Caenorhabditis elegans: one gene and its partner. The protein of the gene in region 1 purifies or fractionates together with the protein of each later gene. This does not show direct contact. Each region holds a gene or a part of one and is shown on either strand. Other genes may lie near its edges.

What was found. Proteins that work in one complex are often made in the same cells at the same time.
Region 2: the proteins of T01E8.1 (region 1) and dbd-3 fractionate together in Caenorhabditis elegans (co-fractionation; one large-scale study listed by BioGRID). This does not show direct contact.

Annotation. Positions count from the first base shown.
Region 1 is NC_003280.10:10,204,359-10,210,726, forward strand, and holds T01E8.1 (F-box domain-containing protein), read left to right. Parts: upstream 1-2,366; 5' UTR 2,367-2,417; coding exon 2,418-2,543; intron 2,544-2,591; coding exon 2,592-2,906; intron 2,907-3,172; exon of another isoform or gene 3,173-3,193; intron 3,194-3,426; coding exon 3,427-3,558; intron 3,559-3,608; coding exon 3,609-3,722; intron 3,723-3,767; coding exon 3,768-4,001; intron 4,002-4,049; coding exon 4,050-4,492; intron 4,493-4,547; coding exon 4,548-4,734; 3' UTR 4,735-4,903; downstream 4,904-6,368.
Region 2 is NC_003280.10:4,769,534-4,774,025, forward strand, and holds dbd-3 (DB domain-containing protein), read right to left. Parts: upstream 1,850-4,492; 5' UTR 1,849-1,849; coding exon 1,628-1,848; intron 1,581-1,627; coding exon 1,457-1,580; intron 1,406-1,456; coding exon 1,145-1,405; 3' UTR 1,000-1,144; downstream 1-999. Other genes in the region: dbd-4 (DB domain-containing protein), read right to left, coding at 3,342-3,491, 4,060-4,164, 4,209-4,326, 4,372-4,424.

The DNA.
Region 1 (6,368 bases):
TCCTCTAATGTTCCCAAGCAGGCAAAATATTTAAAGATCATTTTATTACCACAGAAGCAGTTTTCAACATTCTCACTACTGATGCTACTCTACCTCAAATACCGTGGCGTTTGCTATTCATTTCCCAAATTTTTATTGAATCATAATTTTAAGATCAGTTCCCAACTTTTTTTTTCAAATTAGTGCATTTGCTGGAGTATGTGTAAATTTTTGTAGACTGGTGCTGAACTTTGAAGACTGTTCAATTGTCCCAATGAGAGCCCAAATAACCCTAGCCAGTGGTGCTTTCTATATGTCAAAACTCGTGATGACGTGGCGTGTAGTCTAAAATCCTCGAATCATCTTCTGCAGTGAACTTCCCTCTGTAACCTTTGCTCGAGGCATCACCATTTCACCCATTGAAAACTCTCGGCTGCTCCCGTCACATACTTCAAAACATCGTCATGCCCTTTGCTTCTTGTCATCCTCTCCAACACATACTCTCTCTGCGATCCCGTGTGCATCTGCTGAGAGCTCTCGGGCTCTCTCAGATTCTCTATGTCATCTCTCTCTCTGATCTTTCTTGAATCTCTCTTCCCGACGGGATCTCTCTCATCTTCCGCCCAATTCCCAACTTTTTTGCGGCTTCAAAGTTTGTTTTCCCTTCCTTTTGTTATTTTCCTATTTTCTTCCATTTTTACAGTAAAGCGGAATCTGAAATTTTATCTTCAAAAATTTTTTTGCTTCTAAAAAATCTATCATCGCTTTATTTGGTCGTTTCAAAAGCTGAAAATAAATTATTTCAAATTTGGCACAATGGGCTGAAAATTATCAAATACCAAAAGCGAAATTTTAAAATTTTACACTTCAGTTTAGCTTTATAAACTTTATAGCTTTTTATTAATATTCTTAATTTTTTAGATTCATTTTGAAATGTTGAGTAGATGCAGAGGGGAGATTGGCAAACACCGATTTTTAGTGGTGAAGTAACCATAGTCATAGTGAAACTACTGAAATATTTTGAAAATTTTTTTACAAGCCTTAATTTTTAAAAACTTTAAAATTTACGGCAAATACTCATTGACTCCAAAATCATTGACTACCTGTTCTCATTGCCTACCCTTGCTCATTGACTACCCTTGCTCTTTGCCTTCCTGTTCTCATTGCCTATCCTTTGCTCATTGTCTACTCATTTTCTTCATCAGTCAAGAGGCACGTACAAGGACCGTTTTCCAAGAATACATCAAAGGTACATCTACTCAATTTGTTCATTCATTCAAAGGGTATACATATTTACAATCTTTCAATATGTACACAACATTTCGGGCAACAATTAGTAGTAGCTGAGTCATGTTTTAATTTATATTAATTTTGATAGGACACGAAAAAGCTGGGCAACATTCATTATTCATCAACATTAATAGCAACAATGGCAACAAAAAACAACAATTAAAAATTTGAAAAAAAAGTGACAAAGAACGTAAAATCAATAACAATGAAATTTGGCATAAGAAATTCATTCGGAGTCGAAGTCAATCACTCGTTTTCTGCTTTTGAGTATATAGGAACATGACGCCGTAGTATCAGACATGTCAGACAAGGTTGCACTGGAGTTGATGACTCCGAATGAATTTCTTATGCCAAATTTCATTGTTATTGATTTTACGTTCTTTGTCACTTTTTTTTTCAAATTTTTAATTGTTGTTTTTTGTTGCCATTGTTGCTATTAATGTTGATGAATAATGAATGTTGCCCAGCCTTTTCGTGTCCTATCAAAATTAATATAAATTAAAACATGACTCAGCTACTACTAATTGTTGCCCGAAATGTTGTGTACATATTGAAAGATTGTAAATATGTATACCCTTTGAATGAATGAACAAATTGAGTAGATGTACCTTTGGTGTATTCTTGGAATACGGTCCTTGTACGTGCCTCTTGACTGATGAAGAAAATGAGTAGACAATGAGCAAGGGTAGGCAATGAGAATAGGTAGTCAATGATTTTGGAGTCAATGAGTATTTGCCACAATTTACTTGTTCAAGGATTTAGCTCTTTCGTGTAGAGGTTAAAACTTTAAGGCCGAAGGTGTAGGTCGCCTAAAATGCAGGCGATAAGTTGTGTGCCTACAATGTTTTCGTTTGTCTCGAATTGTGTTTTTTCCATTAATTCGGTTGTTTATTTACCCAAACACTTCACCTTCAATTGCAGAAAACCTCAATGTTTTGCTTTCCGAAGACCAAAATAGATATTTCATAAAATTTCTCTCAGAAAAAAAGAGAATAACATGTGGAATGTGGTGAACAATTTCTATGAATTTTCTCTTATATCCAGATGCTTTTTCATTTGAACCTTTGAACTTCAACCCTTGATTTTTATTGTTGCAGATCTTCACAACATATACAGGGTACCAAAAATGTATCTACAATAACTATACCATGGTAAAGTCCCTTCTGAATCTGTGTCTTTCGGCTGTGTGCCAACATGAGCTGAACAGTGAGCTGAGCTTCATCCCAGTTGAGTGTCGTCAGAAATTATTAGAATTTTTCTGTAGTCATGACCAGGTGAGTCGGCAAACTATCAGACCAACAGTTAGAACATCCAATTTCCAGCTTTCGGCATCAGATTGCTCGACACTCGTGTGCTCCAAATACTTTGGCTGCAATATCCCATCTCTAACATTTTATTTGTCAGCTGAGCTTACGGACGAGATGCTCAATCAACTGACCACCAACAATAAATATGTGGAGAAAATCACGCTGGTCGATTGTCCAAACGTCACTAACCTCGGAGCACAGGCGGTCACCACAGGACAAATTCTGCTGAGACAGTTGGAATTGAGGGCAATGCACCAATTGACAGATCAGTGTTTGGAGAATGTGTACAGTCCATTTTTGTACTCGGTTGATTTATCTGGATGTGGAAAGGTGAGAGGCCTGATTTCGAGACTTTTCTAGAAAAGATCTCTCGAACTTTGAGAATGCGCCAGAAAGGTGACTATGTTTGCCGAGCTTGTATCGGAGATGTGCGGCATACACAGACAACTTACAAAATTCAACTTTTCTCGTTGTTTTTTTTTTTGAAGTTTTTAATCCGAAATGTGTATAGAAATACATAGAAAGTATTATACTTTCAAAAAATAATATTACTGTCACCAGAGTTTTTTTTATGTTGCAAAATGTCATCACATGGATACTTCGAGTAAGTTTTTGGGCAACTTCTCAAAACTTTTGATTAAAAATGAAATTATGTTTTAATTTTAAAAAATTATATAAACAAATATTTTTTTAACAAAAATTTATAATTTGAAATGTTGACACAACGGTGAGAAGAATGGTATTCTGTAAACTTTCTCTGCAATTTTAAAATAGATAAATATCTGTGCTCAAATTTGTAGAAAGAAATAAATATTTCACCTGCCATTTTCAAATTTTACTGTAATTTCAGATTACGAGCCAAGGAATTCGAACTCTTCTCATCAAAAACCCGACGATCGGATGTTTATACTTAAACCACTGCCGCTCCCTCGACGATCAAGTATTGTATGACATTGCTCACTATGTTGGAGATCGGCTTCATGTTGGTGATCCTTCCTATATATCATATAACTTACTTCCTTATTATTTTAGGTTCTCGAGCTCGACTTCCCAACATCCTTGGCTGATCCAGCTGCTGCTCTTCACTACTTGTCCTCCCAATGCCCAAACCTTTCACAGCTGTCCTTGGCTCGATTTTTCCACGAGGTACTAGACATATGCTTTTTTATTATGAACTCTTTTTTTCCTTAGAACCTTGAGGATGTTGAAAACAATGTTCAGTTTGTGATCGATGGAGGGAATTTGAAAACATTGGATTTGTACGGGAATTACTTTTCATTAATGCCACAGCTTCCACCAACAGTTCAATCGATTCGATTATCAGTGTCTGGAGATGAAGACTCACAGCAGTTGCTCTCCACTTTAATGGATCAACCGTTTTTGAACAGTATCAATTTAATTGTATCAGTTAGAGAAGCTAATATTGTAAGTTTAAATACAAGTTTATGCTTTACAAGAAAAATGTATTTCCAGCAAGCCGTTGACAATGCAAATCACCTTCTCTGTGCCATTATCCCACTTCTTGGACATAAAATCACCAAGCTTCAAATATCAGTTCCACGTCTTTTCGATGAACCTCTGAAACTTGTCACAGAATACCTTCCAAATCTAACTCACCTTTCTCTTGAAATCAATCATCTCAATACCAATATTCTCCAAAAATATTTTGCCGGTGGCTCAAAATCGAATGCTTCAAAGTTGAAATGTTTGAAGATTTGTCGAATGAGAATGACATATCGAGTTCTTTTTGCAATTGCTCGTGGAGCTCGTAATCTCACTGATCTTGAAACTTCACATATGTCCAGCGTTGATGATCGATTTTTATGTCTTTTGGGTGGAAATTGCCGACAATTAAGATGTTTGAATATTAATGGATGCAGAATGGTCAGCGATAAAGGACTGGCGGTTTTGGCAAAGTAAGCCTTCAAAATTTTTTTTGAATACTTCAAGGTTAACCTAAAAACATTCCAGACGTTGCCCTCTCCGTGAAGTCCGAATCCGTGGCACCGCCTGCACTGACAAGTCCATCTATACACTGGCACAATTCTGTCCAGAGCTCGAATGGATCTCATATGCCGACTATTCAGGTCGTCCAAAATTCTCCGATGCTGCACTTCAATGTCTTCGTGATTCTTGTATTCAGAAAGTTATTTGTTGAATTGTTTTAAGTTCTACATATTTTTTCTTACAGGTCTAAAAGTTTGTCTGACAATTTTTTTAAAACAATATTAATATGAATATGTAATTTCTGTATGTTTGCCGTGGGATACCTCAAAAGATATTTAAAGTCCATGTCTGATTTAAATAAAATAAAACATTCCTATTCGAGAGTAATGTATGAGAGGAATTAGGAAATTGAGAATTTTATGAAAACATTGATTTTTTCAGAAGTTCTTGAATTTTCTACATGTTCCTATAAAAATTACTTCCTTTCTCGAAACTTTCCAGAATTTGTGACTTTGGTAACCGTATATTTAGTGGAGATTCCCATCATACCACCTGCTGAGCCGGTGATCTTTTCCTTGCTCATCAATTTATGCGGCTCCCACTTTGGTGGTGATTATGAGAAAATGTGAACTAAAAGCTTGAATTTGAAGATTTTTTTCTAGATGAAATAACTACAATAACAATAACTTTTCAGAAACATAAAGTTCCCTTTTGGGATGTTTTTTTTCTGGAAAACGTCTTTTCAACACCAATATGTTTTCTTCATTTTTCGTAAAATACCCAGGATCTGTCACTTTGGTAGCCGGATATTGAGCCCAGATTCCCATCATACCCCCTGCTGAGCCGGTGATCCTTTCACCTGATCCAAGCGGTTCGCACTTGGGTGTTTTCCGAGATTGACTGAAATTGAGGATGTAGATCAGAAGATTCCGGAAGTTATAATCATGGGAAAATATAGTTTTTGCTAATGAGAAATTGAATTTTGGACGTAGGGCAATTTCTATAGACAACAGAAACCTAACATTCCAAAATCTTTACTTACAAGCTCCCCAGGAACATTTAATTTTTTTGCAACAAATTCGAGGTCGTTAGTCAGTTCATCAAGTCAGTCGGGATATGGTGTCTGCATAAGGTGTCGGTGTCTATAAAAACGTTAGTGTATCGCTCAAATTTATGAGCGCCGCGCGCGCCGAGTCGGCCTGTATCAAAGGGACACACGTTCAGATTTATGGCGTGTTCGTGCGAAGATGGGCGCCTTCCGCACTCAAGATTTGATCGCCAATTCCCAATTTGTTGCGAAAATTGGCGAAGAGATCGGACGAATCGAGGAGACGCGGAGACACGTAGGAGGACACGCTTTACGAGGAGGTGTACGGTATAGAGAAAGGACATATTTTATGAAGGTTCCAGTGACAATGATTTCTAGTGATATTTATGGCACAGACATTTTATATGGCTTTTGTCGTTTGCTACGATAATATCGCATTTTTATTGTTGGATCAATTTTGAACACTACTGTAGATTTATACTTTTGTAAAGATCTTTTTTGGGTTCTAGGTCTCTACGAGAGTAATCAGGCTTTTTGTAAGATACACTAAATTTAAAATCTTTGTTTATTCACGTACAGAAAAATTTAAAGTTTACAGGTTTCGGGTGGATTTCATTTTGTGAGTTGAGTTAAAATTGGAAACCGCTCAAACTTTCTTCAAATTAAGTATAATTAAATTGAAATTCACTCGAGCTGAATTCTAGACCATATTTCAATTCCACACTGCCTTTAAATAAATATTTTCCCATGGTAATTATTTCCGGAATCTTCAGAGTTTAGGTCTCGGAGGGCATTGA
Region 2 (4,492 bases), 5.4 Mb from region 1:
CGTTTCTAAAAGTAGGTATGACGCGTTCGCATTAACTTTTAAATTGGGAAATGTGATTCAGATATGAAGCTTGGGAGGGGGGGGTGCCCGCATTATAAAAGAAACGAAATATTCAGGAAACAATTTTTCGGTGTTTTGCAGATTTTCTAAATTTTCAGAAATTTCCAAAAAATTTTGGCACTGAAATTGTCATGTAGAAATTGAATTGAAAAAAACGCAAAAAAAAAACTAAAGCTTCTCGTTGGATGTGACTGACCTTTTATATGCAAAATCCTAAAGACCTTCTCTTCTCGTTTTTAAAAAAATATTTGCTCAAGTTTTAAGACCAAATTAGTGAGTATTTTGTGTACAGTTTACGGAAGCGCTTATCGGTAGGTCAACAAAGCAGATGGAATTGGAATACCTTTAAAAATAGAACACTTACCACAAAAACTGAGATTTGTCAATGCGGAAAACAAGAAATGATGGTTATAAGTTGTCGATTATCGAGTTTGAGGTGTACTGATAACCAATTTTTCGCTGAACGGGGCTCGATTGACAGCTCTTATCAGGGAGGGTGTGATCGCTTGACCGGGGTCACATTTTTCGGCATGGGATGATGTTTTTTATTGATAATTTGGAGAATTTTAGCATGGAAAATTATGTAAGCAAAAGCTTTTATTAGATTTTATTGGTCGTAAAATTGGAGAAAAATGTTGAAATCGATGATGGAGAATGCTCATATTAAAATTTCAAAAAAAAAACGATTGTATTCCTTTTTTCAAACTTTCGAAAATTTTAGCGAAGTTATATTATAATTCGTGCTCCCATCTCATTGCAACCACCTAAAAAAATGTAGCAAAAATTTAAGAGTTTTTTTTTGAAAAATTAACATTTCTTAGAAACATCTGGAGAAAAAAATTCAAAATTTTTAGATCTTCGGTAGCTCCAATTTTTTTTATTAGAAATTTTTTGCAGAATTTGGAAATTAAGAAGTTTGGAAACATGGATGCAAAAGTTTTTGTTTCAAACTTTATTATTAGAACAATTACTGTGAAGAATATTTATATTTACAGATAAATATCGAAAAACACACATGGATACTGAAAGACAAGGCAGATAGCATTATAATAAAGCAGTGACAAATGTTCGATTCCAAAACTCTTTAAGAGTCTCCCTTAATATTTGGATGTCCTTCAAGATGCTCACGGAAGCAGTATCGGATTCTATCAAATTGTCCAATGCAGAGAGCATATTTCAAGTAATCAGTAGGTACTCCTTTGGTAGTTTCACAGTAAGCCATACATCCTGGAATAACGCCTTGACGCTGGCAGCAAGCAGTATGGTCAGCACGAGAAGATGCACAATCCCACATTTGACCGACTGTTGGACCCTTTGGAGAGCATTCACCGAGGAAGCCAAGAACCTGGAAGTTAGGCAGGCATGTGTAAGATAATTTTTTTTTGATAATTGTTACCTGGTCTGGTCTGAAAGCATCAAAATCGCAATATTTTCTTCTACAATCCACATCGGCGTCCTTCAAAGATCTACAGCACACTCTCAATTTTTGATTGGCATTACGTCTTCCAGGAACTCCATAGCTAAAAATTCCCATTTCAAGTTTTTAAACAAAATTATAATTGCTTACATTAATTGGATACGATCCTGAACGGCATTTGTGACTCCGTGTTGAGCTGGTCCAGCGACAGCCTGTGTCTGTGGCTGTGCTCCAAATCCAGCTGGAGCTCCCCATTGATGTTGTGGCCATGCTGGTGCAGCTGGTTGTTGCCATTGGTTGAATGGATTCCATTGCCAACCTTGACCAGAAACACATACGATTAGGAGACTGCCAAGGATTAGGTAGTTCATGCTGGAAATTAGGGGAAGATATTTTGAAGCTAAGGTGGCATTTGTGAAAGCAAAATAAAAACAAAAATTTGAAGGGATTTAATTAGAGAAATCATATTCTATTGCTCAAATTTGGCAGCTTTTGCTGCCAAGTTTGGAATTTTTTTTTCAAATTTCTCAAGGTTAAATTTCTAGATATTTTTTGGATCTTATAAAAATTCCAAATACCCAAGCTTACGCCAGATAGTAAAAACTAGGTAGGCACGTGGATAGGCTCTCGAGAGGCAGGTAGGCATTAAATCGTATCTGAATTGAACACGAAATCTTCAGATCCGTCTTGAAAGCTAAGCTCTACTGCACCTAATTTATAAAAGCTCTGAAACGTTCTATGGCAAGGTTTCTAGGTTTTACCCACTTTCTGAAAAAGAAACAAAACTTTTCATTGTCATCCGGATTAACTAAATCTAGGTAATCTCAAAATGTACATGTGTTTTGTTCGACCACAAGTATGACATAATTATTACAATGTTAAAATCAGCTTGAACATACACTTTTGTGTTTTCTTAAGAACTTTGTGCCAAAAAAATTATCAGAAAATATAAGCTTCGATCAGCTTAAAATGGTCAAAATTGAGACCAAAAATCTGATTTTAAACCAAATTTATACAGCATTTTGTTACAGTGTAAACAAAAAAGTGTAAGCCGAATTAGTCATCAGACGGGGAATTGAAACTGTAATAGAAGTGATGTCAAAAGTAATCTCAATGTCAGTCAAAGACTGAAGAAACTGACATAAAACACAGACAACTATAGGTTTCAGAATGAAAAAGAATACTACCGATAGGAGGGGATTGTTCAAGTTTCACTGAAGATTATAGTATAGAACAAAACGAAGAAGAGAAGCTGTGACAGAAAGGTTTATTGAGAAATGATGGGTGGAGGTAGTTGCAATTGAATGTAGTCTAGATCTCAAGTTCGGGTGATCAAAATTACAGTGTGAAGCTATTTCCCAATTTTCACAATGGTTTAACTGTTTTCAATCGAAAAAAGTCGTAAAATTAAATTTGAAAAAAAAATCAGATAGGTCACACAGAATTTCAACCACCAACAAAATAAACATTCAGATTCAGAACTACACCTAGATAACGTCATCAAACTATATATCATTCCTCACAAGCAATGTCATTTTGTTGCAATTGTGAGGAAAAGAAAAATGATTGTGTGATAATAAGAGATGTATATATTGATAAGAGAAGCCAGATAATGGCAAGTGTTTCTCTTGTTAGCTGACCATCAAAATGTCCCACACCGAAAACCGGTTCAATTGCCTAATCGCTTTTCTTTTTTTTTCTTATCCATCACCATTTTCGCTTCGAATTATTCTCTTGTTGTTCTTCAATTTTTTTCTTACCGTCGTCAATTCTGACGTATAACAATTCAATTGAAAACGAAGACAGTTGAAATTCAACAAAACAGAAGGAAGTTTATAATTTATTAGAATTCAAGAATGTATGTTCACTGACGAATTGCTTTGTGATGTTTAAGATGGGTACGGAAACATAGACGGTACTTGTCAAATTCAGATGTACAAAATCCATATTTAAGAACATCGGTTGGAACGGATTTTGACGCGTTGCAGAACGCACGACACAGTGGGAGAACATTCTGAAATTGGGGAAACATTTTAAGAAGTTGGAAGCATATTGGAAATTTTTGGAAAATTTCTGCGGCAATTAATACAGAAAAAAATATATGTATACGAGTATCTGGCTAACTTATTTTTCCTGTGATCAGCTTAAAAGTTTTATAAAAACATTGATTACAACAAATGATTGTAAAAATTAACTATTCTGAACTATTCATCCTTTTTTACAAAAATTCCTGCTTGCCTGCCTTTAATGCATTCTGCACCTGTTTGTGAGCCTTCAAAAAACCTACATCTGCCTTGTACCTACGGCCATGTTATTTGACGGCTTATATCTCGACTGTCTTAAGTTTTATCAAAGAATGTTTCACTTTCAAAATGTAGAAAAAATATTTCGGACAAATTTTGTCAGTTGACAATTTTTGATAACACCAAAAAAATCGAGATATAAGCTGTCAAAGAAGAGTAAGGTGGGTGCAATTCTAATAAGTAAAACTTTTAGAAAATTTCAGAAAAAAAGAAAGTTCTCAACGGTATAAATAAAGTCCTATATTTTTTACACCAAAATGTATTGAAACAAATATTTACCTGATTGGTACAACATGCACTATGATCATGCTTCGAACTTATACAATCCCAAATTCTAGACACAGTTTTTCCTTTTGGGCCACATTCTGCAATGAATGGCAGGACCTGAACACAGATATTATTTAATATGCCAATCATTTCTTGCTAACCATAAGTTGATTAATCTGTCCAAAATTGCAATATTTATTTGCACATCCCGCATCGATTTCTGGATCATGAGCACAACAGGCGATTAGTTTCTCGTTTGCGTTTAGTGCAGAAACATGTCTAAAATCTGTATTGATTGACTAAACTGAAATCTGTAAAGATTACTCAAAGAAGAATAGTAGAGTAACGAGAAAAAATAGTTGCCGAGTAGTAGTCATCTGTGATTATCCAAGTGTTGTGTATTGAGAAATGATAGTGGATGAGGATACGAGAAATTCATTCTTGA